Linked DNA regions of Diceros bicornis minor. The protein of the gene in region 1 interacts with the protein of each later gene in a pairwise test. Links are inferred from orthologs where the notes say so. Each region holds a gene or a part of one and is shown on either strand. Other genes may lie near its edges. The genes, in order: RFESD and HBQ1.

What was found.
Region 2: the proteins of RFESD (region 1) and HBQ1 interact in binary tests that used the Homo sapiens proteins (3 or more experiments, as listed by UniProt). The two-hybrid records come from large-scale screens. The link is inferred for Diceros bicornis minor from reciprocal best matches to the Homo sapiens genes RFESD and HBQ1.

Annotation. Positions count from the first base shown.
Region 1 is NC_080740.1:21,369,277-21,382,604, forward strand, and holds the start of RFESD (Rieske domain-containing protein), read left to right. Parts: upstream 1-6,842; 5' UTR 6,843-6,916; intron 6,917-7,042; exon of another isoform or gene 7,043-7,772; intron 7,773-13,328.
Region 2 is NC_080765.1:48,124,404-48,135,549, forward strand, and holds HBQ1 (hemoglobin subunit theta-1), read right to left. Parts: upstream 3,909-11,146; coding exon 3,814-3,908; intron 3,729-3,813; coding exon 3,524-3,728; intron 3,434-3,523; coding exon 3,305-3,433; 3' UTR 2,956-3,304; downstream 1-2,955. Other genes in the region: hemoglobin subunit alpha, read right to left, coding at 5,892-6,020, 6,172-6,376, 6,620-6,714; hemoglobin subunit alpha, read right to left, coding at 10,164-10,292, 10,444-10,648, 10,892-10,986.

The DNA.
Region 1 (13,328 bases):
GGGTGGCTGTCAGTTGGTCAGTGCAGGAGGTCCAAGTCTACAAGCTGTGAAGGTAAACTCAATTGGGAGAAGTCTTTTCATAAGAGGTTAATATGGGCAACATGTTTAACAAATCTGGGGGCGGAGGAAGATCCATCTATGCATTTATCTGAGACAGAGGCAAGTTTAGAAATTTGCAAAGGTAGAAGCCCCAGTCTCCAAGTGTCTTTCTCTTCTTACAGATTAAAAATCTCTTCATTGCCATTTCCACTCTGAGCCCTCGTCCTTAACTGAGCAGAGTCTCTATCTCATGCCATGGAGCTCTCCTGGAGCGTGTGTTTTCCGCCCTGTGCCTCAGTGGCTGTTTTCAGTGACTTTGGCTAAGCAATCTGCCTCCTGGTATGGTTTCTCCAGTGCCATCTTGACTCCACAGGATGGTGCGGAGTGACTGTGAGCATGCGATGTACTACACAAATCCAAGGCTAGTCCCACCATGCTTCCCTCTCCGGACCAGAATGCAAAATGGAATTTGGAGCAGCCCAGGCAGTACCATCTACCCACACCTGTCAGGGACAATTTCCAGTTAGATACTCATTGGTGCTCTGTAGCAGGGGTAGAGCTCAGCCGCCTTGCAGTTCAAATGCAGCTGAAGGTAGATCCAGGTCAGAGGTAGGGGGGAGGCTCTCTTTAAGAAGAATACAAAATAATAAATAAAAAATGAAGTATGAAAGTGAGTATTTATTTAGAATGGGCAAATGATCATGAAAAATGTAAATATAAAAAACTGAGGGGCCGGCCCAGTGGCGTAGTAGTTAGGTTCGCGAGCTCCGCAGCCCAGGGTTCGCAGGTTCGGATCCCAGGCGTGGACCTATGCACCACGCATCAAGCCGTGCTCCGGCAGCATCCCACATACAAAACTAGAGGGAGATGGGCACCGATACTAGCTCAGGGCTAATCTTCTTCAGCAAAAAGAGGAAGATTGGCAACAGATGTTAACTCAGGGCCGATCTTCCTCACACATACAAAAAAGATATAATATCAAAAATTCATTAATTAATTGCCAGACATACTTCTATAATACTTTTTATCTACAATTTTTGTCTACCTACTGTTTAGTCATCCTTTCATGCGGTAACAATTTTATGATAATATTCAGTACTAAGAGAACAGAAAGATAACTCAATCTTTCCTACAGCATAATCATTTTTTAATTGACAGGAACCATAAAACAAGCTGTTTTTAGTCCTAGTATAGGTTTATATACTTACAGACACAGGAATTCTGATAAATTCTGTTTCATATGATTCCCGTCAAGAAAGATATATGATGGATGTATAGTTTACGTGCTGTATTATTGAGCATATTCCATGTGTACTGTCAATGAGAACAGAATCCTGTGCTTACAATTTTACCAAAAGTCTGATGGTAGACAGGATTTCCCACAGATTAGTTTCTGGCTCTGTCTGTTCAAATCTCGTTTCTCCTCCAGGACTCCCATACTTCTTGTGCCAGACACCACAGCCCATGCTCACATTTTGATAGAACTCTGGCCTGCGTGTCAGCATATGAGGAGAGTCATCATAGTGGGCGGTGGGAGTATTTTTGGAAGCTGTTTCTACACTGGAACAGCCAGCAAAATTTAACTATACACATACAAATATATGCCACTAAACCCATACTAAATATATTTCTAACTCAACTACCCCTTAGCCAAATGTCCAAAATGCTTGTGTGACAGAAGGAAAGGAGACAATGGCCTTAATCCATTGAAGTTAAATCATCTTACTTTTACACATTTTATAAAAACATATGACCACTATTCCTTTCCCTCTTCTCTTTCCTTCCCGAACCATTTAGTCCTGAAGCCAGTAGGTGAGACAGAGCAGGGTGACAGAGCCCAAGGGGAGTAAATGGTAACGTTGTGGTGCAGAGAGTCTAGCTCAATCCGACTGAGAAGCAAATAGGGGGGCACCCCTACCGGGGCTCTGAGTCCAATCTCTGTGACACTACTACCAAAGATGCATAACCTGAATCTAACCATGAGGAAATGTCAGACAAACCTCAAGGGAGGCACATTCTACAAAATAAATGGCCTATAATCTTAAAAAAATATCAGTGTCATGAATGTTAAGAAAAGATTGAGGAACTGTCCCAGACAAGGAAGCTAAAGAGACGTGACAACTAAATGCAACTTGATTCTGAACTGGATTTCAGGATTAGATGGTAGAAATACCTCACTGTTAACTTCCTGATTTGGGGATTGTATTATGGTTACTTAGAAGAATGTCCTTGTTTTCAGAAAATACACACTAAAGCATCAGGGGCTGACAGCGCATCAGATTGGCAACATATTCTCAAATGGTTGTTGGGGGATAGTTTCCTGTACTACTCTCCTGTAATGTTGTGTGTTTCCAAATTACATTAAAAGGATATAAAGGATGACCATGTGAACACATTACCAAGGTCCCTCAGGACCTTGGAAAGGGCCCATGCGTGGGAGGGGAACTGAAACTTAAGTTTCATTAATTTCACTGCAGCAAATATTACCCTACCCAGTACTGTCTGAAAGGCCAATGTACCAAAAGACCTTTTTCCTATAATTTAGTTCTTGCCTTAGCTATGCCTGCTTTCCAAGGTCTTTGTGGCCTCCCTACCTCTGCTGAGATCCAATGTGGTAGAAGGAACATGTTCTGAACATTGTTCAAGGTCAAGGAGCCTGCCCCTGAGGTCCACATCACCTAAAGCCCTCTGTGCTGCCTTTGCTGGGCCCACATAGTTCCGTGCATATTTGCTAAGCCTGGCTTGGTACTAATGGCCAGTGTCTTGCTTGAGGCTCAGTTCAGACTACCTCGTGTTCACCGACCTCACCCCCTTCCCCATCCCCTACTTAAGGTCAGCTTGTGTATCATTTACTTAACACCAGGGACTTAAAGTTCTACCTGGAAGATAAAAATCAGGAGTGAGCAAAATCTCCTCTTAAAATCTCCAACCTTCACTCCCTTTTTTTGATAAGTTCAGCTGAGCCCCTTGTTTTCCTTTCTACAGATCTGTGTGCCTAAAGAGAGGGTACAGTCTGGTTCATCTTCTCAAGAGGACAGCTCTAAGGGAGAAGACAGCAGTTTGGGTACATAAATTTAATTCAGGAGACTGTTAGCATGTCCATTTGGCTGTACACTTAAGCCACCCCAATCTAGAGTTTTATCATTTAAATAAAGCTTACACTTTGATCTCTTCCTGTATTTCTCAGTTGGTTCCAAACTCAGGCAGGAAAGAAAGGTGTTATTTATTAGGTCCTCTCAAAGTCCAACACAAATAAAAGATGATGGCACCTTCTAGAGTGGTGACAACAGATAAGGAAAGAAGCAGAGTTAGAACTGACAAGTCTCAGTGCTCGATTAGGTATGGGGGGATATCACAGGGGTCCCTAAAACCACATCACGTCCAGGGATTCACTAGAAAGACTCATGTGACTCATTATCTAGTTCTTCTCATGCTAAGATTATTACAGCAATGTTGTAAGAATACACAGTTGGATCATAAGGAAAAAGGATAGACGTGGATACGGAAGAATCCACGTGCAGGCGTCCTTATGCTCTCTCCCTCTCAGGAGGGGTCACAAAGAGCTCACTCTTCCTCCAGCAACGAAGATGCAGAAGCATGCGTGCAATGTTTCCACTGAGGGAAGCTGTTAGAGACTCAGCACCCGAGGTTTTTATGGGGGGCTGCTCAGGTAGGCACCTCTACCTAGCAATGTACCAAAGTTCCAGACTGCTGGAAGGAAAGCAAGTTGTGGTCACCATAAACCATACTGTTTGTACAAACAGTTTAGGCACAGTGAGTCACTCTTATTATTTAGCAAAAGTCTTAAATCAATGTAGGACTGTTTACCAATCAAGTTCCCAGATGCCAGCCAAGGGCCCACCTCGCAAGCAGAGCTTTTTAAGGATGGCAGTCTCAGGTTAGCTATGTTAACTCTTTTCTGCACAGGAAGAGTGAAGAAAAGGGAGACATAAGTATGGCGACGGCAGTGTTGTCACCTATGGAGATGGAGGGGACAAAGGAAATATAAGTTTATGGGAAAAATTTAATATTTCAATTTTGAACACATAAAATTGGAGATAGCTATGAGATAGGTTCAACTATGCCATGTTGCAATCATAAACAACCTTAAAATTTCATCTAGAATGTCAACTGTTGTGACAGAAAAAGAGACGACTAGAGAGGTCTCATATCAGCTCTTCTACGTTTCCATCTAGCAGTGACACACCACGTTTTCACCCACAGCCCACCGGCAAAAACTAGTCACATGGCCTCAACCAACTGTAAGTGGGGCTGGGAAATGTGGGGTGGTAGATGGGGTGTTTGGTGAACACCACTGTTCCTGTCACAATATCCAGGTGGGAAGGTCACATGGGTATCCAGAACAAACGAATGTTCTGGAGACTTCCATTTAGGAGTCATAAACAGATAGACGGTATTTAAAGCCAACCTCACTTTCACGTGATCTGAATCCCAATGGCCTCATAAGGGCAATGTCATCACCATTTTCTGGTTTGAAGCAGTAGGAAATCCAGATTGGTGGATACTCTTCAAACCTCCCTGTAGTGAAACTAGCAGCACATGGTCTTCCTGAGCTCACAAGACAGACTTTGGTTTAGGATTGAGGGCAGGTTTTGAAGCTCTCTGAGGGGAAGGGCTTGGTCCCAGAAAAGGCTGTCTAGAAACAGCCTGACGCTCAGAGCAGAGGAGAGGGGCTCACAAAGGTGAGAAGGGACATTTGAAACTGTTTATGGATAGATATTGATGGGCAAGTTCACCGAGGGAAGGATGGAGTTTTCAGTGGTAGGTAACAAAAATCATGCCAGGGCTACCACTAGGTGTCACTAGCAGGAAAGGAAAGGATGAAAGAACAAATAGAGGAAGGAACAGAGGAAGATGCAAACTGGTTCCAAGGAGACAGGAGGTAGAAAGCGCCCCCAAATGGCCTCAGGTAGAACACTGTAGGAGCGGTGTCCACACTGGTTGGAACTGTTCTATTGCACAAAAAAGGAAAAAGAAAAAAGTAAAGCGACAGTAGCAATCATGAATTTTATTCTGAACTGTATGACTTTCAAATGAACTTTACGGGTTCCTGAGGTAGCTCATGCACGTGCCTGTGCCTGCGCAGGTGTGTGCATGCATTTGTCAGTGTGCATCTAGGGAGTGGAGAGAGGTAGTTTATTCTGCCCCACCACCACTAAAGTTTTCCAAGCATTTCATATGATTACATGACTAACCACATTAATACTTTAGGTAGAGATAAAAGAAAGTTTCCATTTCTCTCTCATTCTTCTTGTGTATGCATACATGCATATCCGAGGTCTTCAGTTTATTCAAAATCAGATTTAAGGTCAGTGGATCTAAGATGTGTCTTATTTCAACGCCCAAATTATACCAAAGCAAAAAAGAAGGACTTTTCATTAGAAATGGCAAACTTTATTTGGTTCTTCAATGACACAAGCTGAGGACTGCCAACACCCCACATGTGCCAATAAAATAATTTGGGATGGCTAACAGATCATGTAAATTATAATAAATCCACATATATTTTATTATCACTTTGCTAAAGCGTTGCTTTAGTTTGTGCTTGGATCAAATGGCCAAAAAGGAAATTATCCCATAAAATATTACTATCATCCCAAAACTATACTGAACAGAATAGAAATCAGAAGAAACTGGCATTGGAGGCAAATCCATTATTCTGGGCTTCTCAATCTTTAACATGTTGAGACTCATAGGAAAAAATGGCATTTATATGGCATACTGGGGTAAACGGACAAGGCTCCTGGGTTTCAGCTGCCCCGGGCCCACTGGGCCACTCTAGAATCTGAGATCAGTATGTCAGCATTTAAATATAGATTGTGGCTTTCAACCTTGAAGTCACACTGGAATCACTTAGGAAGTTAGAAAAAATGCATATTGATTCCCCCCCACTCACCCCGAGGTTTTTATTTCACTGGGCTGGGCATCAAGACTTTTTAATACTCCCAGGTGAATATAAGGTGCAGCCAGAGTTAAGAACCACTGGATTAGAAGATAGTTAAGGAAACCAAAAAACCTATCAGACTCATCTAGCTTCCAGCTCTGAACACAAGTATGGGGGGGGTCTTTTTTTTTTTTTTTTTAATTCGGAGAAGTATAAAGAGAAAAAACAAAGTTGCAAAGTTCAAAAAATGAAAGTGAAAACCCTTCATCTCCCTCAAAACAAACACTGTTAAGTTTTCTTTGTTTTTTAAGAAAAAGCTTATATTCATACCTACATATTTGTATCTCGAGATGTAATTTTTATTTACACTAAAGACAGCACACTACACATAGTATTCCATAAGTTTGCTTTTTAACATTCATTACATCATGAAATCTGCTCTTTGAGTGCATGGCTACAAAGTAATTCACATGTCCACACTGTATTTTATTTAACCATTCCCCTGCTGATGATCACTTTAGCTTTTCTCATTCTTTTGTTGCAATAGACATCTTTAAACACGGATTATATGCATCGTGATGAACTTTTGCAAATACTTTGCAAATTCCTATTTAGCTCAATTCCTAGAAGTGAGATCGCTGGGAGCATTTGAAATTTGGATAAATGTGGTGTGATCAACAAACATTTACAAATAAATTGATACCACCTACGTTTGCCAAACACACGATTAAGACTGTCACTTCGGAAGTCCTGGCAGAACGTGGTTGGTCAGCGGTCGCTGTCAGGTGGGGTCCTCAGCCTGCAGGGCCGCAGCGGCGGTCTCCGGGGGCGGCGCTCTAGGGTCACGTGGGCGGCTGCGCCCCGCCCCCCGGAGGCTCGGCGCCGCGGCCGGCGCGCCAACTCGCGCAGTAGCGTCACGCGCGGTCCGCAGCCGACCGGTCTCGCGGAGGCGGAGCGAGGGACTTGAGGAAGGTACGTTCTGTTCTCGCCGCGGGGTTGGGCGGCTGGCGCGGGGCGGGGCTCGCGGCGCCGCTGCTTCCGGCCGGGCGGCAGGCCCGGCCTCGGGCTTCCGGCGGCGGCGTTTTGGAGCGGTGGCTTTTGCTCCCGGCCTCGGTCCCGCGTTCCTTAATCGTTACTCCGCGGGGCAGGCTTCCGCCCAGTCACATGCGGCCCACCGGGCTCGTTCACCTTGGAGCGTGGGCCGCACCCTGACCTGCCGCCTCGGTGGGGCAGCCGGGCCTTCTCGGCCAGCGGTGCGGGCGTCTGCGCGCTCTGGGGCGTAAAAACCGCCCCGGTTGCTGCGGCCGCGCCGGCCCCGCTGCGCGTCTCCAGAGGTCCGCACAGCCGCGCTCACACGTGAGGTTCTCGAGTGCCGCTCCGCATAACGACCGCAGACCGTCTTCACTAAAACGTTACGTACGGCTTGAAGTCACGTCGGAGCTGGAAGGACCGCAGAGATGACAGCTAACGGGCCTGGAGCCGTCGCCGCGGTCGCGCCCGCTGCGAACGCTCGACGTGGAGGCGGCGTCTGCTCCTCCCCGCAGCGCCGTGCCGCGGCCTTCCTCGCGGGCGCGCACCCCGCCGCACAGCCCGGTTCAGCGTCCTGCCCCCAATCCTGCCCACCCGCGAGTCACACCCGGCTGAGCCCACCTGCTGGTCACAGGCTCTTAAGATCGCCCGCGATGGTAGCGGATTCCAGAGCGGCTACATGACTTTATTACCTTATTAGGGAGGTATTCCGTTTTGAACATTTGTTGACGCGACTCTTGCACATCAGCATTCCTAAATTTAAAAAAGTTGAGGACCATCATCTTTGGTGATATATATGGTGATTATCTATATATAGTGATACACATATACGCACGCACACATATACATGTGTACACACAGATGTCTTCATTTTGCCAAATGTCAAGATAGTCTACTGGCAGACCACGTGTTTTTATAAATCCGTGGCTGCTGCTTAGATGCAGTGTTAAGATTTATGTATCAGTGTCCGCAAAACTTAGGCTCATAAGATCTGGGTTTGTATCGTGACTGCTACTTTGCAGTTTGGGCAAGCTTTTGTTAAAGAGGGTCCTTTACTTAGTTTTCTCATCAGGAAAATAGGTATAATCTTTACCCATTGGCCGTTTTGTGAGGATTAATGAACTCATATATGCAAAAACCCCAAGGAGTGGCACTCACTGAAGGATAGCTAGTTTTAGCTATTATTATTCTGCCATCCAAAGAGATACAAAACAACTGTCTAAGGCATTTCTCTTCTCTGAACCTGAAAGCAAGGATGTCACCCTGGAGTTATGCATTCTGATAATGTGTACGCCAAGTCCCCAGACTTAGTGAAAGCACCTTAGTCAGTGCTCAGGAGGAGTAACAAGTTCCTGTCATTTCGTGTCTCTTTTCTCCCCAGTGTCTTATGGAAACTTATGTTTTTTTAAAAATTCAAGCTGAATGGATTCCCTATGCAGGAAAGGTGTCTTAATAGAGACTGAGAATCCATTTAGCTAATTTGTAATTTTATGTGGTGTTTGCACTTTTAAAAATCTAATTTTAGGCACAGGCCAAAAAATATTTCTTGAAGAGAACTGGGGAACAAAGCAGCTAAATTTTTCAGAAGGAAGTTTTCTTATTCTAGCCCGTAAACTGGGTAAGCCATTTAATTTTTCACTTTGTTTTTATTTAGTTAAGATTCTCCTATCTTCAAGTCCACTCAAAATAGAGATATGTGTGGGAGCATATGAATAGTGCATCAAAGTAACAGTAATTAAGGTGAACACAGTGGCTCTTATTCTTGTCTAAATGGACGGTGATGTTCACAACATTTAATTAAGAATAATAAGGGTGTTAATTTTAAATAGTCACAAGATATCATAAATAAATAGAACCACTTATGATTCATGAAGGGAACAATTATTTGAAGGATAATACTTTCCTAAGCAAAATGCAAGACTGTAATCATACTTCTCTGAAACCCTTATCGTTTAGCCCCAGCTTTCTCTGCTTATTTCTTATCAGCCCCTGCGAAGTTCACTACAGTTTTCCTCGGTTGGGCAAAGACTGTATGTTCCAAGCAACTGACTCTTGAGAGAGGATTGTTTTGGGGTCTCATTTATTTGGGAGTCAAGGAGAACTTAACTTTTGATGCTACTCCACATGTCATCTATTTTGTTACTTGCTTGATACTAGTATTTCTTTTCTAGTTTTTGCCTGGAAAAAGAAGAGAACTATTCATTTATTTCCCCCTCTAGTGCCAAGTTTTGAAATAAGCTGTACAAAATTCTCAAATAGTCCATTCATGATCTATGCACAGGCACATTCTCTGAGGATACAAAGTGCCATTTTTATCTTCTTTTTCTTGGATTTTGGATCATTTGCTACATAAACATAAAGTAGGATACAACTTAAATATTGAAAAAGAATAATTTTAAATATAAGAATTAATGTAATATTTTGAGATATTTAAGAAATTTTGTGTTTACTCTCCCCTTTTCTTTATAAATTTACCCAATATATATGTATCCATGAATAATATATGGTTTGGGTTTGCCTTTTTTTGCATTGGTAAAAATGGAAGCATACTCTGAATTTTTAATTTTTTTTCATTTAAAGTTACATTTTTAAAATTAATCCAAATTGATGTAGCTATACGTTTTTCACTGCTACACAGCATTCCATTGCATGAATATAAAAATTATCCATTCTACTGTTGATGGATTTTGAGTTGTTTCCTGTCTTTTGCTGATATAACCATTCCTGTGCATGTCTCCTCGTGTACCTGTGTACATTTCTCTGGAATATACCTAAAGTGGGATTATTGGGTCTTGAATATGTTCAGCTTTACTGGGTAGTGCCAAACTGTGCTAGCACTAATTGATGTCATCACCATCAGTGCTCCATATCCTCGCCAATACGTGGTATAATTTTTTGCCAGTTTGTTGGATAGAAAATAGTATCCCTTTTGTGCCTTTGCTTTCCATTTCTTTTACATTTTCCTACTAATGAATCTGAGCATCTTTACATGTGATTACTGGCCATTCAGATTTCCTCATCTGTGAAATGTTTGTGTCTTTTGCCCATTTTTCTTTGGTTATTTGGCATTTTCTTACTGGTTTATAGGAGTTCTTCATATATCTGAATCTTAATCTTTTGTTGGTTATATATGTTGCAAAGTCCATATTTCTTTCATTTCTTTTTCTTCAGCCTATTTCCCCCCTCTTTCAGTTCATCTGTCTGTCCCCATTTTTCTTATCATTATTGCCCCTCTGTCTGTTCTGTCACAAAATGTGATAAAGGCTGCACATCCAACACATGAAGGTAAATACTACCCTCTGAGCAATTTGTGTACTTTGAGTACCTGCCAAAATCGAGTAAAACCAGATAACTGTTGAGAGATGTAATCATCCAGCCTCCTGTCAGCCATGACTAATCCAGAAAATCTTGGCCATGGTCTTCTTTGCCTTTTCTTAAAAACACTATATTTCTGCTTTTTTTATTGTAAAATAATTTTTTTAAATAGCATATGTGGATTTTTTCCATTTTTAAAAAAAGTAGGTAAGTCGGAGCAAGGGTTAACAGTGCAAACTTAAGAGTACAAATTTGACATCTCTGTAATTTCCTAAGCTTGATTTGTATAATGCTTTCATTTATATGTTGAATTCAAAGCTCCTGCCTCTTCCTGTCAGCACACATGCCCACACACAAACATCCCTCATCCTACACCTCAGTTTCGGAGTCCAGGCTTATGTAATATCTAATAACTATCTTCCTTATGGCTCAGAGGTACCCTTCTCAAAATAGTGGTCTATAAATTTTTTCTTTCTAAAGCTCACTCCTAACATATAGAGATTTTACTTCTAAATAATAATTTCTCTGTTTTACAAACTTACTTTTTAAATGAGCCACGCTCTTTTCCTCCTAACACTTTCCAACTTCCAGTCAGTCATACAGGATTAAATAAATATTTATAAAAATTTTATATTTAAAATATAAAAAAAGAACCTGTCAGAAGGCCTGAACCCTCTTGGCACTGCCATGTAACAAATTTTCCATCTTGTTGGGAGGGGATTGTGTCTAAGCTACGTACATCAAGGTCCAAGGGCCCTTTTAAAGAAATTGAATATATGTGTTTGTATGTAAAATGTTAACCTAAGACAAGTGAAATCAAAATGGCAGGTTCCTGTTGATCTCTCGTTCATCATTCTATATAATCATTCTGTGTGACTTCCTATGAAATATGACAATATTACTGTATTGAAGAGGATGTAGATTAGGAAGGATCATCTTCCTAAGATTAGAGTATTTATTTGAAGCTGACACGTGATTTATAATTTCGTTAAATATCTTAAATTGTAGACAAGTGTATGTGTGTTAAATATGGTAAGCATTCCATGGCAAACTTGCTAATGTTTAACAGCATCTGGGTCTCTACAACTAACATGGGCTGTCACTTTCATTCACTTCCTTTCCTTTTCCAAATGTAATTCCTTATCTTGTATAAGGCAGAGCTGGAAACCTCTCAAGTTATCTGGAACTTTCTGTCACTTCCCACTCTGATGAAATATCCATAAAATGATGAAATTGTTAAAATGGAACTGAAAATGAAAATGTTGAGTAAAACCTAGCCTTACCATAACCTTTAGAGTTGTTACATATTTTGTTTTGTGTGCTTGTGTCTGACATAGACATCTATTGAGACGTTATGACTGAAGAGTTATTTGAGGTTGAAAATACACACACACCACTTTTAAGGCTGTGTGCTTAACTGTGAATTTCAAAGAATGGCTCCTAAATGTTATACAGTGATGTATATGAATCATTATTTTGATTCAAAGACTGGATCAGATCTATGTAGAGTTGACCCTTGAGCCATTTCCTGTGAACAATATTGAGAGATTTCTGGTCTTGATTTTTCCCACCTTTTAATTTCTATATTTGGCCAAAAGTATATTTAGGAGTATAATAGGAGACAAACTTTAGAAATATAGTGTAGTAATAAGAAAAAGAGAGTAGTAATAGTTATTCTAGTTGTAAGCCTTTACTTGGATGTTAACCAGTATTTGATTTCTAGGAGAGTGGAGGTTTAGGCAGTAAGTGAAGTTAGAAGGAGAAAAGAGTATAGGGTTGGCCCAGCTCTTTATGAACAACCAAAGTTTGGGGACAGAGTTTCCCAGGAAGCCCATGTTTTCTTCATATATCATTCATTGTTTAATACATAGAGGTGGCCAGCATTGGAATGGATTTTACTTCACTGCCTGCCTTTTTGGCTGGATTACCAAGTATTTGCCGTTTGAGGAGAATATAGGATAAAGAAGTGAGCAGTGAGTGAATTTCATTTGATTAGCAATGGATTGGACACTCTACTGGTCTTGCTTCTCTTCAGCCTCTCTTCCACCTGACCTCTAAATGTTGATGTGCTTCAGGAATTGTGTTAGACCCTCTTCCCTATCTATGCTCCCTTCTCCAAGTGATTCCATTGAATTCCATAACTTGAAAACTCCCAGATTCATCTCTCTAGTGATTCTCAACTCTAGTCTCGTATACCTGATCGTTGACTTGATATCTCCACCTCGATGTCTCTAAGGTACCTCAAACTCAGTATGTGCAAAATGTAGCTAGTTCTTGACTTTCCATTCCTGCAAAATACCATTCCTTTCTCAGTCTTTCCCATCACAATCACAATCTGCTTGGTTACACAAACCTAAAACCTGGGAGCTATCCTTATTTATTTCTTTTTCTCTAGATCTCCATTCCAGTTCATCAGCCCAAACTCTCTGTGCCTCGTTCAGTTTTCTCACTGTAAAATTTAAGAAATACATTCTTTGTAGAAATAGGCTGGAGGATTAAATCAGTTAGTAAAGTCCTAACAGTTCTGACATGTAGTTAGCCCAATATCATTGTAGCTACTGCTGTTATTTTTGTTGTTATTATTATTATTACTTTTCTCCCCCACAGAGTCAACACCCTGGTCCAAGCCACCATCTTTTCTCCCATGGACCACACGATAGCCTTCTGATTTCTGTGCTTCCACTTTTGTTTTGCTATAGTCCATTCTCCACACAGCCAGGGCATTCTTTTAAAAACGGATCATGTGACCCTTCCCTGCTTTCCAACTTCAGTGCCTTCCCATCGCTCTTAGAATAAAATCCACATGCAGTGCTGCGTGACCTGGCTCCTGCCTCACCAATCTCACTCATTATGCTCCAGTCTCCTTTCTGTTCCTCACATTAACCAGGCTTGTTTTCTTTTCTTTCTTTCCTTAAGGCTTTTGTATTTGCTGTTCCTTCAGCCTGGAATTCTCTTCCTGTAGCCCTTAGCGTGTCTAGTTCATTTGCATTTTTCAGGTTTCAGCTCAGCTGTCATCTCAGAGTCACCTTTCCAGTTCATT
Region 2 (11,146 bases), on another chromosome or scaffold:
AGTTAAATAAACGGGGAGTTCCACACCCCTACCAAGGTCATACCCAAAAGGGATTATTTCCTGCCCATACCTGGCAAATAGATTTTATTGGACCATTGCCAAATTCTTGTGGATATACTTATGCCTGCACTGCTGTTGATACATATTCTGGTTATTTATTGGCTATGCCAGCTAAAGTGGCCACTCAACAGAGTGCCATAAAATTATTAGATATAATTAAGTTATATTATGGAACACCAAGGCAAATTCAGAGTGACAACGGTTCCCACTTTACAGGTAAGTTGATTCAAACTTATACCAGGGACAATTATATAAAATAGATTTATCATATACCTTATTACCCCCAAGCTGCAGGCCTCATAGAACAAATGAATAGATTGCTTAAACAACAATTGAAGAAACTTGGTCATGGCTCATTAAAGGGGTGGCACAACCATCTAAGTCCTCTGTCAAGGTTGTTACCAGCAAAGATTACAGAAGTGGCAGCCGCCACCCATGAGCTTATGCCCTTAACCTATTGGCTCCTGACTCAGTCTGCTAAACCGCCTTCCCTGCCACGGCCGAAGCGGCTGGATTGGATTTATCTACTGTTCATTCTATTCAATTGCCCCCTAAGAAGCAGTCTATAGTCCCTACTGGGATAGGGGTACAATTTCCCAAAAATACCTTTGGTTTGTTAAAAGGACGCTCTGGACTGGCAACAAAAGGTATTGATGTACTGGGAGGAGTTATTGACCCAGATTATCAAGGAAAAATAAAATTTATATTATATAATGATAGTGACACAGTACTAACTGTAGAGTCTAGAGAACGAGTGGGACAATTATTGGTGCTTCCCCTCCTGACCCCAAATGTGTCACAAGGACAACCTCCAAGTGAATTAACTAAAAGAAAAATGCAAAGATTTAGGTCTACAGATGGATGAAAACCTAGAACAAAGGTGTGGGTGACACATCCACCCAATGCGGCTCCGCGTGCTGCAGAAGTAGTGGCCCAAGGGCCCACTACAACGCTCATAGTTATATATCCAAGAAATAAACAATTATATCATGTTCTTAAAAATTCTGTTTCTTTGCGTAAATAGATATTCCTGCTGTGTTCGCTATGCTGTGCTGCACTTCCATGTCTGCTGCAGACCTACACACCAACTAATGTCTCCATAGGACAACCTTTGACCCTGCACTGTTAGACCAACTGCTCTACAGCAGTGGGACCTATAACTTGGACTATGAATGGCCGAGAAATTTGGTCTCAAAAACAGCAAACAACTTCGCAATATCAAATAATTTCTCTATTACCCTGCCTTCTGCTACCCTCCATGATGGGGGCTGATCTGGACTTCTACAAGCTAGTTTGTTAGGCCTAAGTGTTACCTTATCTAATGTTATCTTTGATACTATACATGATTTGCAAGATCAAGTTAATAACATTTCATATTCTAAGAGGTTGTTTGATTGGTTACCTTGGGGTCTGGGTCCTTTATTGTGAGATAGTTTTATAATTATTGTAGTCATTAGATTTTAGATTCTTGGATGTGCCTTATGTACTTGTGTACGAAGTTCATTGTCTGTGCGTATGGTGTCTTATGGTTAATGGAGACGGCCACGGCCGAATATGTCTTGACATGAGTACGGCCATGTTTGGCCGCTCCATTGACCTACAGCCACCAGCACAAAAAGAAATATAAAAGCTGCTTTCTGTGTGGTGGGAACTGGCCTTTTCCCGGGAACTGGCCTTTCTGCCACAGAGAGAGTTGCAAGTTGTAACATTTCAAGGCTCTTGGAGCGTCGTAGCCTGGAATGGACTGGCCATCTGTGCCGGGCTGAGACGATAACCAAAGAGAACAATGCACGTACACAACTACTGGGCTGGGACGTTAGCCAGGGGGCTCAGTGCACGTACGCCACTGATAACCATTTGTGCATGGAAACACTACATGCTTGCTCTGCAAACTCTGTAATTGCTTACTCTAAAAATTACTGATGATATAAAAACTGCTGGAAACTGAGCCCTGGTGAGAGTTCCACCTGTGGAGGGGACACCTTGCCCAGGACGTGTGATCCTTGCCCAGCCGCGTCTATTGACAGGACTCTCCCGGCAGTGGGGCGTGCATGCTGTGAGTAACTGATTTGATGTGAAATAATTGATTTGATGTGTAGTAAGTGATTTGATGTGTTCTCTTTTCGGTCAACCTGGTGTTTCTCTCTCCAGTTGATTTGTGTCATTTCTCTTCAGCCGATGTGGGTGTTTTCCCTTTCCAGTCGGGCTGATGTTTTTTCCCTCTTAATATTTGACCTATTTGGATCAGTTTGCAGACTGTCGCCTTTACTATCCTCTATATAATAAAATATACCTTCAGTCCATTTGTTTGGAGTGGAAAGTGTCTTTTACGTCTCCGATCGAATCCCCAAACCTCTCATAACATGGACCCACTGGGATACCCAGGAAGGTGCAGTAAGTGGAGTGTTCTTTTCTGAAGTTTCTGCAGAGACCATAATTGATTTTATGGGAAAAAATTTTAAAAAGAAAGAAGCCCTGACCTCTGTCTCCTTAGAAGTGTGGGATGTAGGCAGGGCTCCTGGCTGGTGCCCTGGCCCACCTTGTCTGCTACGGGACTGGGTGCTGGGGCAGGACCCACCTCCTTCCACCAGGTCCAGAGCCTGGCAAGTGGGGGCTTTCACCCCAAACCTCCCAGATACCCAAAGCCGCTGTGTACGGTTGTGCAGGTTGGGCCCTGCAGGTCCCCGTCCGCGCCCGCTGGGGGCGCCGTTCCCTAATGTTCTCAGAGGCCGTGCCCGCGCCGTCTGGACGCGGCCGTTGGCTCTAGGTGGGTGAGGGGCCGGCCCGGCGGTCCTAGGTTCGAGAGGAGTCCGAAGCGAGCAGCCCGGGGGAGGGTCCGGGCCTGGCCAGCTGAGACCTGCCACCCTACTTCCGAGGGGCCGGAGCTGCAGGCCTGCGCCTCGACGTGGCCGCGGCCAAGGGCAGGGTGGGTTGGGGGTTACGGTATGGGATTTAGGACCCGCTTTCCCAAACTCGCCTCGCGCCGCGGGGAGTGGGGGCGACCCGGACCTCCCCTCGACGGCCTAGCAGTGCAGCGGACATGGGCCTGGGGCGTGCCGGACCTAACAAGGGGGGTGTGCGGCTCAGGGTCTCCCAGATCCCCCCTTCCTCTGGGGGGCAGCACCCCACCCCGTGGGGCCCGAGAGGACATGCACACACACAGGCTTGCTTTCGGGGACTTTACTCAAACACTGGAACTCGCGGGAGGGGCGGCCAGGGGGTCCCGCGCCCACCGCCCCCCGGTTTAGCCACAGTCGGCGGCCAGCGCCGAGATCACGTGGCTCAGAAACCTGTCCAGCGAGGCCTGCAGGGCGGCGCTGAAGTCTCCGGGGAAGTGCCGGGCGAGCGTCACCAGCAGGCAGTGGCCCAGAAGCTGCGGAGAAAGGGGTCGTCCCGCCGGGGTCGTGCGTCCCCGCCCCGTCGTCGCGGGGAACGGCGGGCCCGGCCCGGCCTGCGGGCTCACCTGGAAGCTGGTGGGGTCCACTCGCAGCTCGTGCGCGTGCAGGCGGCGCAGAGCCGACAGGGTGCACGGCAGGTCGTCCAGGTGGTCCATGGCGAGTGTCAGCGCATCGGCCACCTTCTGGCCGTGGGCTTTGACCTGGGCAGAGCCGGGGCTCAGGTCCAGGTGGAGGAAGTAGGTCGTGGTGGAGGGGAAGCTCAGGAACATCCTGCGCGAGGAAAGAGTGAGGTGCGTCTGGGGTGCGGGTTGGGGAGGAAAGGCAGGCGAGCCCGAGGACGCGGATCTTCCCGCACCTCTCCAGGGCCTCGGTCGTGTAGACGCCGACGTTGCCACCCAGCTTCTTCCACAGCGCGCGCAGCGCCGCCCTGTCCGCCGCCGCCAGCACCATCGTGCGTCCTGGCCGCGAGCGCGAGCTCGGCGCCTGCGCCGGCGGGCCGGCGGGTCCTCCGGGGCGCCACGCCGCGGCCGGGCCGCGCCTCCGGTCGCAGAGTCTGGTCCCGAGGTGTCCGGGAGCGCTCGCCTGAGCGTCTGCTCCGACCTGGGACCTTCCCAATCACCCTGGACCTCGAGGCCCCCATTTTTGTAGTGTTTACTATATGGAAACTAATATTTAATATGTATTACTATTATTAGATAACACTGAATTTTAGCACGCATTTTGGCATTGGACGTCAGCTTATTCTGCCTCCCTCCCGAGTCTATTATGGCACTTCTCTGAGTCTATTTTCTCATTTATAGTCTAAAATGAAGGTAGTTTCTTCTTCTCAAGGTTGTTTTGGGAGTTAAATGGATAACAAATGTCAGGTGCTGGCTCATAGCGTGTGTTCCTTTTAGGACAATGGACATGTACCGAGTGCCTCGGGTGTACCCCAATAGTGACAGCTGATACCTATGCAGTGCTCATTCCATGCCAGGAACCATTCTACACCTTTCTTTTTTAATTGTGGTAAAATTCGTATAACATAAAATTTACCATCTTAGCCATTTTAAAGTGTACAATTCAGTGTCTTGAATTACATTCACAATGTTGTGCAACCATTACCACTGTCTAGTTCCCTCAGCCCCTGGCAACCACCAATCTGCTCTTCTGTCTCTGTGGATTTGCCTATTCTAGTTATTTCATATAAATATAATCAGACAATATATGGACTTTTGTGTCTAGCTTCTTTCCACGTTGTAGCACGTATCAATACTTCATTGCTTTTTATGGCCGAATACCATTCCACTGTATGGATGGGCCACATTTGTTTATCTGTCATCCGTTGATGGACACTTGGGTTGTTTCCACTTTTAGCCCAGGGCTTCATTTTTCCTAGTAATAAAATAAGGAAGACTGCCTCCTGATTGCTCATGCTGTGCCACCAGCTGTGCTAAAAGCATCACAAACTGAGGCAGGAGACCTGCCCGTCGTGTTTTTCAATGATGACTTTTGGGCCCAGAGAGGAAAGGACATTGCCTTCAGTGGGGGGCTGGACAGCTGCCAGGACCAGACACCTCAAGCCGTCACTCTGAAGCCACAGGCGCTAGGGGCCTGCTCCAGGGGGAGGAAGCATGTCAGAGTGCCGGCTCCCTGGCCCTGGCTCTCCTCTCCGATGCAGCACTGGAGGGAGTCCATGGGTCTCAGGGGTGCCAGCCTCAGGGCGGGGTAGTGGATGCTGCACTGGGCCCGAAAACCAGGCCTCCAGACCCGTGATGGCCCCAGGATGTCAGTGTCTGCAGAATGAGCGTCCTGGGAGGGGCACCAGGTGGAAGCGGTGCCTCCAGGAGATGGCCTGGCACCTGCAATTGCGCTGCTCGCTCTCAGTTTCGTCTAGACGTGCGTGTATTTGAGAGGCACTCGGGGAGGGGGGATTTCAGTGCAACTCCGAAGGAGTCTGACCTCTGTCCTCCTCACTGCCCAACTCTGGGAGGAGCCCTGGGAGAGTTCAGAGGTCCTAGGCTGGAGGCCAGCCAACCAGCAGTGCGAGCGTGTGCACGTGTGTGTGTGTGTGCATGCCATAAAATGAAACGATGAAAAACGAATTCATTATTTGAATAAACCCCTGTTGAATGTGCAAGGCTCTGGAATGAAATGCAGGAAGGGGTGAATGTACACAGCAGAGCACTCCAGGGTGACCATGGGGGGTTGCAGCACACCCCAGGCAATGGCAGCCGACTGGCTCCACTCCCTCTCTCCCCTTCCCTCTCTGTCTGCTGCTGGGAGGTCCTTGGTCCGAAGCAAGGAGACCACCCCACCCCTGGCAGTTCGCGGACACAGAGAACCAGGCGCACACAGGCTGCAGCCCACTCAGACTTTATTCAAAGATCAGGAAGAGCCCGCCCTGAGCGCAAAGGGCCCCGGGCTGGGGGCAGGGATGGCCGTGGCTCCAGCTTAACGGTATTTGGAGGTCAGCACGGTGCTCACATTGCTCAAGAACTTGTCCAGGGAGGCGTGGACTGCAGGGGTGAAATCTTGGGGGTTGTGGAGGGCCAGGGTCACTAGCAGGCAGTGGCTCAGGAGCTGCGGAGAGAGGAGCTATCAGGGGCGTCGGGGCGGGGGCGCCCGAGCTCCACCTTCTGGGACCCACGGGATTCTCTGCCCTCTAGGGGGTCCCGCTGCGCCCTCCATCCCAGGTCTCTCCCGCTCGGCCCGGCCCGGCCCGCGGGCTCACCTTGAAGTTGACGGGGTCCACACGCAGCTTGTAGGCGTGCAGGTCGCTCAGAGCCGACAAGGCGCCGGGCAGGTCGTCCAGGTGTCCCACGGCCTGGGTCAGCGCATCGCCCACCTTCTTGCCGTGGGCCTTGACCTGGGCGGAGCCGTGGCTCAGGTCGAAGTGGGGGAAGTAGGTCTTGGTGGTGGGGAAGCTCAGGAACATCCTGCGGGGAAAGGAGGGTGAGCCTGGGGGTGGGGGTGGGGGGTGGGGGAGTCCGGGGGAGGGTCCTGAACCTCGGATTCGGAAGGAGGCGCCGGCCAGGCTCTCCCCGCGACTCCGCGGTCTGACCCTGAGATCTTGGGGGTCTTTGCGCCAGCCAGGTCGGAACCCATGGGGGTGTTATTGGCAGGCTCCTGGGGCGGGTGTTGGGCCCTGGGGTCCCGGCCGGGGAAAGAAGGGTCCTCACCTCTCTAGGGCCTCTGCGCCATACTCGCCAGCGTGGCCGCCAACGTGACCCCAGGCGGTCTTCACGTTGGTCTTGTCGGTGGGAGACAGCACCATGGTGGTAGTTCCGAGTCTGTGTCAGGACCAGAAATGTGGGAGGTGGGCAGAGCGCGGGGCTTTATCTTCGCGGCGCTCGGGGCACGCCCGCCCGGGCCGCGCTCATTGGCTGGCGAAGAGCCGGGCGCGCGGCGGGGACCGGACGGCAGGGGGCGCGCGGCGGGGTCTTCGCCGGCTGCAGCGGTAGGGCTTCGCTCCCCATGGGCTGGGGGACCCGGGGTCCCCGGCCAGGAGGTTCCTCCCTCCTGCCTGCTGCATCCATCCCCCCGGAGGCGATATCCTCGGCCCCTGCCACGGGGCCGGTTGGTTGGGGTTGGGGGCGGGGGGTGGTCGGTGCGGGATCTTCCACCGTGAGAGCTTAGTGGCACCGTCATGGTCCCTGAGTGTCGCCGCCCCCATAACCAGGCTGCGCTCTCTTGGGATCGGAAGGGAGTGAGTCAGCCCCGCCGCCCGCCCTGGACCGGTCTTCGCTCCCGCGTGACTGTTTAACTTGGGCAGAATCACCGAATGAATGGGCAACGGAGTGCGCGAGGGAAGAAAGGCTTCGTCGTCGGGGCAGAGAGAGATACGCACAAGAGGTCGTTGCTCACATGGGCTCAAGAATTCCCGCCGGAAATCCCTCCTGCTGCCTTTCAGCCCCCTTTCTATCCACAAAAAATCACTGAGTGCCAGGCGGGGAGGAAAGATGGAGGGGCAGAATCCGCAGGGCTGGGTGGGCTCCTGGCTCAGGCTCCTTCCAGGGCAGTGGTTGCTGCAGCCGCAGGTCGGGGGCTCACAGAGGCGGCCTCTCCTATTCGGGACCCCTGTGTGATTCTCCCCCACTGACCAAGTGGTCCCGGTTCACAGTGACACCCCAGTCCCCCAAATTGTGCGTGACACAAGAATCGCGGGCTAACTACTGGTTGAATTGATAAATCAACTGGCTGAACCAGACCTAAGCTTTCAGCCTAGTTAGGGACACAGTCATCAAATTATCACACAAGTGCATACATGGACACAAACCGTGTGGAAAGCCCTAAGGAAGCACGGAGGGAGTGGATGAGGCGCTCAAGGGCATCATGGTTATCTGAGGATCACGGTGGGCTTCCCTGAGGAGGTGAGTCTGGAGGATGAATAAGTATTAGGTGGGGTAGGGGGGAGGCTTGTAGGGGAGCAGAGTGAGAGAAGGCCTCTGTGGCTGCAGAATGCAGGTGGGGAGATGGGGGGATGATGAGGCTGGCCAGACCCTGCAGGATGGGGGAAGGGAGGGACTCCTGGTGAAGCAGTGAGAAGGAGCAGGAATCCTTATGCAGCTCCTTAGGAGAACAACTGACAAAGGACATTAACAGAAAATTAACAGAAATACAGAAATGACCAATGCATCTGTGAAATGAGACAGAGCTGATAAAACTGGCCATAAGAAATGTAGAGGAGACACGTTTCAGTGAGAAGAGTGGGTTGCAGACAATTATCTACGGTATGGTGGTATTTTAAAAAATTATTTTATTGAGGTCACATTGGTTTATAACATTGTGTAAATTTCAGGTGTACATCATTATACTTCAGTCCCTGTATAGACTGCATCGAGCTCACCACCAATAGTTTAGTTTTTATCCATCACCATACATATGTGTTCCCCACCCCTCTGCCCTCCCCCCACCTCTTCCCTTCTTATGATGGTTTTTGTGTTTGTGTGTGTGTGAGGAAGATTGTCCCTGAGCTAATATCTATACCAATCTTCCTCTATTTTATATGTGGGACGCTGCCACAGCGTGGCCTGAAGAGCAGTGTGTGGGTCCACGCCTGGGATCTGAACCTGCAAGCCCTGGGCTGCTGAAGCAGAGTGTGCAAACTTAACCACTACGCCACTGGGATGGCCCCTCATGATGGTATTTTTGACAAATATCATGATATTTTTCACACACACAAAAAGAGTAGTTGTAGCTGTAGCTGTGTCCCCCCAGCACAGAATAGGAGCCAGCAGGCTCAGGCCCACACTGTTAACTTGGGCTTCTTCTGCAGGAGTGGGGACAGGGCATAGGGAGTCTCTCTCCCTTCTTTGAATAACACAAAAAGGGTGTGTATGTGTGAAAGAATGAGTGGATTTTAGTTTATTTCTTTCTTTTTTTTTTTTTTGGTGAGGAAGATCAGCCCTGAGCTAACATCCATGCCAATCCTCCTCTTTTGGCTGAGGAAGACCAGCTCTAAGCTAATATCTATTGCCAATCCTCCTCCTTTTTTTCCCTTTTTCTCCCCAAAGCCCCACTAGATAGTTGTATGTCATAGTTGCACATCCTTCTAGTTGTTGTATGTGGGACGCCCCCTCAGCATGGCCGGACAAGTGGTGCGTCGGTGTGCGCCCAGGATCCGAACCCTGGCTGCCAGTAGCAGAGCTCGAGCACTAACTGCTAAGCCATGGGGTGGCCCCCTAGTTTATTTCTTAAGTGTTTTTCTATGTTTAAATAAAAATGTGTTGGGCTGTGGGGCAGAGGAAGAGTGCGTGGTAGAGAGGGGGAAGCATCTCCGGCTGTTCAGGGAGGCCCATGTCCAGAAGGAAAGTGGTGTGCAGGGAGCTCGCCACCCTCCCCAAACTTTTATCTAGCGCTATGTGTTGCCCTGGAGATCTGGGCTGGGCTGGAGGCGCTGATGGTGTCTCTAAGGCGGCTGCACAGCCGGATGGGGTGTGGGAAATTCCAGCATGGAGTCCAGGGCTTCAGCACCCGGGACTGGGGCCTTTCTGAAAGCGGCTCACAGCCTGGGGCAGAACCGCTGGGAGACCCCAGGAGCCTCCAGCTAGAGAATGGGGGAGACAATTAGCTGGGGGACGCAGGGCTGGGCACGCTGTGAGCTATTGCTGTGGTCGTGACCTGCAGTAAAAAGGGAGGCGGGTGCTCCGCTAAGCGCTTCCCCAAGTGCCCCTGACAGCTGCAGCTGGCCTTGCCCTCTTCCTCCCCGACTGTCCTGGCCACCCACCACAGAGGGTTCCTGTGACCCAGGAAGGGTGCGCGGGGCTGCGACGCCTCTTCCAAGCCACCTTCCCTCTGATAGGAAGGAGGTGGAATCTCCTAGGACTTGTCCGGCGCCTGCATTTGCACAGGAGCAGCCTGTTTGTGGTTTGTTTTGATCTAGATTGTATGTTTAACAGGCATCAGTCAGCGAGACTTCAAAAGAGGGTGGCGACCTAACAAGTCCCCACTTCCCAACCCAGAGAGGAACCCAGGACAGGAGCACGGTTCAGAGCATTCCCTGAAGCATCCGCCATAGCTGCACTCCCTCCGCCCTCCCCTTCCCGCTGCTGGGAGGTCCTTGGTCCGAGGCAAGGAGACCACTCCACCCCTGGCAGTTCGCGGACACAGAGAACCAGGCGCACACAGGCTGCAGCCCACTCAGACTTTATTCAAAGATCAGGAAGAGCCCGCCCTGAGCGCAAAGGGCCCCGGGCTGGGGGCAGGGATGGCCGTGGCTCCAGCTTAACGGTATTTGGAGGTCAGCACGGTGCTCACATTGCTCAAGAACTTGTCCAGGGAGGCGTGGACGGCAGGGGTGAAATCTTGGGGGTTGTGGAGGGCCAGGGTCACTAGCAGGCAGTGGCTCAGGAGCTGCGGAGAGAGGAGCTATCAGGGGCGTCGGGGCGGGGGCGCCCGAGCTCCACCTTCTGGGACCCACGGGATTCTCTGCCCTCTAGGGGGTCCCGCTGCGCCCTCCATCCCAGGTCTCTCCCGCTCGGCCCGGCCCGGCCCGCGGGCTCACCTTGAAGTTGACGGGGTCCACACGCAGCTTGTAGGCGTGCAGGTCGCTCAGAGCCGACAAGGCGCCGGGCAGGTCGTCCAGGTGTCCCACGGCCTGGGTCAGCGCATCGCCCACCTTCTTGCCGTGGGCCTTGACCTGGGCGGAGCCGTGGCTCAGGTCGAAGTGGGGGAAGTAGGTCTTGGTGGTGGGGAAGCTCAGGAACATCCTGCGGGGAAAGGAGGGTGAGCCTGGGGGTGGGGGTGGGGGGTGGGGGAGTCCGGGGGAGGGTCCTGAACCTCGGATTCGGAAGGAGGCGCCGGCCAGGCTCTCCCCGCGACTCCGCGGTCTGACCCTGAGATCTTGGGGGTCTTTGCGCCAGCCAGGTCGGAACCCATGGGGGTGTTATTGGCAGGCTCCTGGGGCGGGTGTTGGGCCCTGGGGTCCCGGCCGGGGAAAGAAGGGTCCTCACCTCTCTAGGGCCTCTGCGCCATACTCGCCAGCGTGGCCACCAACGTGACCCCAGGCGGTCTTCACGTTGGTCTTGTCGGTGGGAGACAGCACCATGGTGGTAGTTCCGAGTCTGTGTCGGGACCAGAAGTGTGGGAGGTGGGCAGAGCGCGGGGCTTTATCTTCGCGGCGCGCGGGGCACGCCCGCCCGGGCCGCGCTCATTGGCTGGCGCGGAGCCGGGAGGTGAAGGCCGGGACAGCGCTTGCGGGAGTCAGC